Ovis aries: one gene and its partner. Each later gene encodes a partner of the first gene's protein in a complex. Links are inferred from orthologs where the notes say so. Each region holds a gene or a part of one and is shown in the gene's direction. Other genes may lie near its edges.

Evidence for each region. Proteins that work in one complex are often made in the same cells at the same time.
Region 2: the proteins of OGT (region 1) and keratin, type II cytoskeletal 7 are in contact, whole or in part, in a crystal structure (PDB 4XIF), measured with the Homo sapiens proteins. The link is inferred for Ovis aries from reciprocal best matches to the Homo sapiens genes OGT and KRT7. Residues at the interface, in NP_858058.1 of Homo sapiens: His506, His508, His509, Asn567, His568, Pro569, Tyr642, Thr643, Lys644, Gln849, Phe878, Val905, Ala906, Pro907; in NP_005547.3 of Homo sapiens: Val9, Phe10, Thr11, Ser12, Arg13, Ser14, Ala15.

Annotation. Positions count from the first base shown.
Region 1 is NC_056080.1:64,228,767-64,232,417, forward strand, and holds part of OGT (UDP-N-acetylglucosamine--peptide N-acetylglucosaminyltransferase 110 kDa subunit), read left to right. Parts: intron 1-1,119; coding exon 1,120-1,272; intron 1,273-3,155; coding exon 3,156-3,408; intron 3,409-3,631; coding exon 3,632-3,651. UniProt on the Homo sapiens protein: Catalyzes the transfer of a single N-acetylglucosamine from UDP-GlcNAc to a serine or threonine residue in cytoplasmic and nuclear proteins resulting in their modification with a beta-linked N-acetylglucosamine (O-GlcNAc).
Region 2 is NC_056056.1:134,145,545-134,149,195, reverse strand, and holds part of keratin, type II cytoskeletal 7, read left to right. Parts: intron 1-1,320; coding exon 1,321-1,381; intron 1,382-2,571; coding exon 2,572-2,667; intron 2,668-3,651.

The DNA of each region.
Region 1 (3,651 bases):
GCCTCTGTGGCTTTACTGTTACCAATGGTGAAATATCTGTAGACATCGTACAGTTTCTTGCTTCTATATAATTCATCCTTTCCCCAGTTAAATCTTACTCATCTCTTAAGACTGTCAGTTCAGACAGCTCCTCCGACAATCTGTTTCTGTCCATATCTGTAACCTCTCCTTCCCTGCTCCATTGGTACCTGTATTCTCTGCTTCTGAAATATTTGGCATGTATCTTTACATCCAGCACAACACATTCTAAGTCCTGGGTTTGAATGTATTTGCCACTGAATTGAATTACTTTAGAGCCTGTATCTTAGCCTCTGTAATGTAGTATGTGCTCAGTAAATATATATTGCTTGTGTACTTGAATAAGTGAATGTGTAGCTCTGTCAAGAGATATAAGGCAAGCATCTTTGGCCTCTTAGGAGTTAAAAGTTTTAGTGGTATAGCAATTTATACAGAGGGTGCTTGAAGTGAATTCAGGTGAGTTGAAAAGACTGATGTGTTTTTCCCCCCCTTCTGGTTAACCGTCCTTTGAAACAATAGGGCAGACATGCTTGACTTAAGGGAAAAAAAGTGTAATACTTGAAGTGTACAAGGGCAAAGAATTTTGAATGTAGAACACAATGCCCATTTGTATGAGACGTCCATCACACCTGGAATAGTTACATAACAATGTAAGGTAGTCCCCAGATGTGTGGGAATTGCAAGATAAGACTATAATTATGTATGTAGATGCTCAGAAATAGTGGTGAGGCGAGGAGCTTTTACAGAGATTGTTTGGTAACTGAAGTTTAGTCCTGAAAGGTGGATGTGATTTAGAAAAGGACATTTCATTCATGAAGAAAAAGAGTGAGAAGAAGCTTGCTATTGGACTTATACGATTTTGAAGAGAACTTTTTGGCTAGAGTGAGATGTTTCATAGTGCAGTCCACCCCAAATTAAGATAGTGCCCTAACTTTTTTCCTTTAACTTAATGCGTCACAAGTATTTTCCCATTGTAGTTTAGTTATATGACTTTTAATGGTTATACCACTTTGCATCATAAGGATTCTTTATTGATTGAAAAATATTGGAGTATGTTGACTTTAAGTATAATCGTCATTCATATTCTTTTTCTTGCTGTAGATCAACAATAAGGCTGCCACTGGAGAAGAGGTTCCTCGTACCATTATTGTAACCACACGGTCTCAGTATGGGCTACCAGAAGATGCCATTGTGTACTGTAACTTTAATCAGTTATATAAAATTGACCCTTCTACTTTGCAGATGTGGGCAAATGTGAGTATGTGTAGATTCATTATTAATGTCTAGAGATTCTAGAAAAGATTCTGTATATAGGCCGTCTTGCTGAGGCTGCCTGCCCCTCCCCCACCCCCATTCAGGAACTATTGTGCTCATGTCTAATTTTCAAAAGAGCTGTAGGTTTCGGCAGTTTTTTATGTTCTTTCATGTGTCTAAATATCAAATTATGGACTTTTAAAATTGATGTATTTAAAAGCAAACTTCTTCAGGCCAAGTGGTAAATATTTTTGGTTTCTCAGTCCATACTGTCTGTCATATCTACTCAGTTCTGCCGTTGTAACAGGAAAACACCATACTTATGTAAATGAATGAACGTAGGTATGTTCCAATAAATTTTTATTTACAAAAGCGGGCAATACGTGAGATATGTCAGATTTGGCTCATAGGCTATATTTGCCAACTCATGGTCTAAGCTGATAGTAAAGCTGTTAATGTATATTCATCCGTGTTTAGTAGCATTCTTGCAATATTGTAGAGTTAAAACTAGGAAGGAATTGGTTTATGCCGTTACCTATATCAGTCATTTCATTGTACTACTTCGTGTAAGCAGGACCTCTGAAGGTTCTAAACTTTGCTATCCATACCTGGTTTTTATTCCATAGAGCTAAAATGGAGATAATTCTTGGTTGACTTTTTTTCTGATCAATATCTGGGTTTTTTGGTGTGTTTTCTTTTTTTTTGGAAGGAGGGAGGGTGGAGGAGAAGAGGAAGCAGATGAGTTCAGGTTTACTATCCCTTCGTTTTCAGTTCCCCATTTCAAAAAACCTGAAAACCAAAAACATGTTCATAAGTTTGCAGTAATTTATTTGGTAGCAAAACTGCCTGAAATGATGTTAAGCTATTTATGATTCTTTATTTTATTCCATTTAGTATGAATATTCTACATCTTGATGGAAAGATATTAATATGTTTGTTTACAGGAAGTTGCTGCTGAGCACATTATGTAATTTATACTTATGTACTACTTTTAAAAAATCTGAAATACTCTAAATTCTGAAATCTGTCTGTTCTCATGACTTTGAGTGAAGGGATGGTGAACATAATTGAATAGATGTGGATCTAAATCAGGTTGACAAATTGTGGCCAGTGGGCCAAATCCAGTGCGCTGCTTGTTCTTATTTTGTTTGTTTGGTTTTTCGGTTTGTTTTTGGTCACAATGTGAGGCATGCCAGCTTTTAGTTCCCCAATCAGGGATCAAACACACACCCCCTGTGGTAGAAGCACAGTCTTAACCACTGGACTGCCAGGAAAGTCCCAACTGCTTGTTTTTGTAAATAAAATTTTATTGACACACAGCTATGCCTACTAATTTACATATTGTCTGTGGCTACTTTCCAGTGACGAGGGCAGAATTGAATAGTTATGACAGAGTCCATGCTGGCATCAAAAGCAAAAATATTTGCTGTCTGGTCCTTTACAGAAAAAAATCTGCCGACCCCTGATCTAGATTGGGCAAATAAAGTTTGGCAAATGTGAGCTAACTTTGTTTGTTGTACCATGCTGGGGAATTTGAAAGCTGAAATGGAAAATTCCTATCTTGTGGACAAAAACCACTCCTAGTATCAGTTCCCACAGGACATAGCTGCCTCAGATTTTTCCAATTAGTTACTTGTTTTGTGCTTCTTACATCAGTCTCCTGTTTCTTTGAACTGTGTTTGGGGACAGCTAAGCAGAACACTATAACCCAGTTGATCTAGTTTATCTATGTGAAAAAAAAAAAAAAACTTAAGTTCACAGTAAGCTGCTTTCTAGGTGAGTAGCATAGAGTATGGTATATGGTAGAATTACTAGAAATTTATGGGAGCCCTTCTTGAGAAGGGCAGAGCTATTAATACTTGTTCTTGTTTTCCCTATTTTAGATTCTGAAGCGTGTTCCCAATAGTGTACTGTGGCTGTTACGTTTTCCAGCAGTAGGAGAACCTAATATTCAACAGTATGCACAAAATATGGGACTTCCTCAGAACCGTATCATTTTTTCACCTGTTGCTCCTAAAGAGGAACATGTCCGGAGAGGCCAGCTGGCTGATGTCTGTCTAGACACTCCCCTTTGTAATGGACACACCACAGGGATGGATGTTCTCTGGGCAGGGACACCCATGGTGACTATGCCAGGTGAGTTGTTTCCTTATTCTTTTAAAAATCTCCTTGGAAGAAACACTTCCAGGTGAAATCATATGTACTAGAAGCAATATTTAGGGCAAAATGATAGAAAATGAGACTTGTTCAGGTCTGAACATGCCTCATCTGCATTGTGTGGATATTTAAACATAAATAACATTAATAACTGTCTGCTGTTTGCATTCTCAAATGTGCAATTATCTTTTTTTTACTGCAGGAGAGACTCTTGCTTCTCGA
Region 2 (3,651 bases), on another chromosome or scaffold:
CTCCAGAGCGCTTTCCTGGGGCCCCAGGCTGAGCTCCGGACCAGGCTGAAGGAGGAGCTGGAAGGGGATGTCGGGAGGGGTCCTGATGCGGCTGCCCCCGGAGCCCTCATCTGTGTGCCCTCTGGGCCCAGCGGCACAGCAGGAATGGGCAGACAGCCTTGTAGATATTTTTCTAACTTTTCTAGAGGATGGGGTGGGGGAGTGGACTTTGGGGGTCTGGGCTCCTGGAGGGCCTCTGCCTGCCCGAGCATCCTGCTCCCCACTGAAGCTGCCCCACATTGCTCCTGTTGTTCTCAGTTTCCGACACCTATTTTGAATCCTCCAGTAAACACTGGGCCAGGCCCAGCTGCCTTCTTGCTCTGTGCCTGGCTTTGCTGGTGTCCTTCTATGGACAAGGGGCTGGCTCCTTGAGAGAAAGAAGGATGGGAGGGGGGCTGTGAGAGTAGGGATGGGGGCTCCCCACCTACTTGGGACCTGGTTCTTCTTCCCGAGTCCACAAGGTGCCTCCTCTTCAGGCCCCTTCTTCACCCTCAGCCAATGGGATTAAGCAGGTTAAGCTCAAGCCTCAGATGACCAGGCTTCAAGTCTGGGCTTTGCACTTAGCAGCTTAATGACTGCACAGAGTACTTTGCCTCTCAGCGCCTCTGTTCCTCTTCCTGTGAGTCACAGCAATTGTTAACAGGATTGTTGTGGACATTAAATTAGCGAATGTGCAGGAAGCATGTAACGGGGCAGGGCCATATGAAGCGGTCCATAAGCATGGCTGTTCTCTGCCTTCTCACTCCCTGGATATGCAGCCTCTGTCCTTTAATTCACATATGTTCCCTGCTCCCCCACCCCCACCCCCTGCCAAGACTCAAAGTCCTAGGAATAGCCATATGGATGAGTCAGGGACATTTTGCATCATAAGTGAAAGTGAAAGTCGCTCAGTTGTGTCCAACTCTTTGCCACCCCATGGACTATACAGTCCATGGAATTCTCCAGGCCAGAACACTGGATTGGGTAGCCGTTTCCCTCTCCAGGGGATCTTCCCAACCCAGGGATTGAACCCAGGTCTCCCACATTGCAGGTGGATTCGTTACCAGCTGAGCCACCAGGGAAGCCCAAGAATACGGGAGTGGGTAGTCTGCCCCTTCTCCACTGGATCTTCCTGACCCAGGAATCGAACCAGGGTCTCCTGCATTGTGGAGACTCTTTACCAACTGAGCTACCATGTCATTAAGGAGGGAGTGAAGGTGATGCACGGCAGACCTTCACACTTGGATATGAGGGGATAGAGGCAGAGTTGCACCAACACCATGCTTCCTTTCTTTGCTGCAGGTATGAAGATGAAATTAACCGTCGCACAGCTGCTGAGAATGAGTTTGTGGTGTTGAAGAAGGTGAGGGGGGCATACAGGGAGGGTAGGGGACACTGTAGAAACAGGGGCCCGGGGACCACATGCCTCTCACCAAAGCAACCAATAGGGACCTGTGGTCAGAGTCTGGTGGGTCTATAAGAGGGAAATGATGGGCTTGGAGAAGGAAAGATTTGAAAGCCAGGCCCTTTATAAGGCTATAACGTGTACATGTATGTGTGTGTGCGTGTGGTGTGTGTGTGTGCGTGTGGTGTGTGTTTGTGCATGTGTGTGTGTGTGGCAAGTCAGTAGACTTGTTTCTGGGCTTGGAAAGATTAGAATTAAGACGACAAGTTGGAGGTTGGAGAGGGCAATTGCAACCCCACAATAAGTAAGTGTTCTATCAGTTAGAACATTCAGTTACGGATGAGGGTGGCACATGGCCAGCCTGAAATAGTGAATGAATGGGCTGCCTTGAGGCAGAGTGAGCCTTCCTATACCTGGAGGTGTGCAAGTTGAGTTTGGAAGACCTTAGGAATAAGGGCTTGACTTAAGACTATGCTTTAAAGTACACTTACTCAGTGTCCCAGGCCCATCCACAGAAATGTAACCTGCCCTGGAGTGCTGTGCCCTTGGAGATTCAGGGATGAGTGGAAGTGAGCGCTCCCCACCGGAGGAACCCACAGCAGAGGATGGTGCCCAGACATCATCTGGACTTGTGGTGTTATCTGTGGCCTGCCTGCTTCAGCATCACCCAAGTTGCCAGTTACACATTTGGGCTGGAGATTTCTCATCTCTGGGTGTGGTATCCTGGAGTCTGCATGATTTCATGCTCTCCCATTTGACTAATGAAAAGCTGAGGCTCATGAAGTTATAATGATTTGTTCAAGGTGACATAGCCACTAGGGGGCAGAGCCGGCGGTGTGTCTAAACCACTGAAGCCTTTAGGAACTGGTGAAGCGCTCGGTTTGGGGCTTCAGAATGCTCTGGGCTGTCAGTGCTGAGAAGGCACCTCCAGTCCTGGGGCTGAGTGGAGATAATGTCCATCTCAAAGCCTGGGCGGGTCCACTGGAGGGAACTTCCTGCTGTGGATATGTCAGGCAGCATGGAGCTGCTGCATGTTTCTTGGTAGGGCAGTGGGGTTTGGTCCTGGGATTGGAGAGTACTGGCTGCCAAATGTTTCATGTACTGAGAACACGCTATCCATCTACCCCTTCTGCCACCACCCCTCCCAGGACGTGGATGTTGCCTACATGAACAAGGTGGAGTTGGAGGCCAAGGTGGATGGCCTGAATGACGAGATCAACTTCCTCAGGACCCTCTATGAGCAGGTGGAGACCTCAGGGGTGGGAAATATGCCACACCCTGCCTGTCCTAGCCAGGGGGCCATCTGGTCCGCCCTCTGCCTCTGGGTCAGTCTGGGTGTGTGTTGAGTGCATGTAGCGGAGATGACCCTGCTCTTTTCTAGATTCAGGAATTGGTGGTGGGCGAGGAGCTCAGGAAGAGCTGAGGCAGTGTAGCAGGGGGGTGAGAATGGGGGGTGGGGTGTGTGTCAGTCAAAATTGGCCTTCTAGAGACAGGGGATGACCATTTGTAAGGAAGGGGGATTGGGAGGGGCTGGAAGAAACCAGGAGGATGTTGAGGGATCTGGGCTGTGAAGGGGTTCATGGGTGCGCTGGGTGGGCTGGCAGGGGAACCAGGTCAGGAGAGGCTGGAGTGCCTGAGGATGTACGCCCACCACCCAGCCTCTCTCTCTGCCTGCCCCTCCCATCTCCTTTCCTGCCCTGCCCTGAGCTTCCAGATCCTTTCCCTGAAGGGGGTCAAAAACCACTTCATCCCATTAGAGTGAGGCTCTGGCCTTAGGCAGAAGACAGTATGGTTGATCGTCAGGCTGGTCTGGGACATAGTTACACCAGAGGCGAACTACAGACTAGTTCTTACTCCTCTTCAGTCTCGCTTTTACCTGAACATCCAGCTTCCATTTGCATCTCTGAGAGAATTTCCACGTGTGTTAATTTCGGGGGCTGGATCCTTGAAGCTGATTTTGGGCCCTCCTAGTCTCATTGTGGGTCTTTGTATGTCTATCACATGTTATATGTGTGTGTGTGTGTGTGTGTGTATACACGTATATGTAATTATTTTCCTCTCGTTATGAAGTACATACTCATTGCAAAAAATCTAGAAAATTAAGTAAAGGATAAAATTGAAAAAAAGCTTCCTATGCCATCTCTTATCATCTTGATAGCTACCTTTTCAGGCTCTTTCTGTATGTATATCTATACATAAAGATACAGAAGTATATATATTTAATAGAA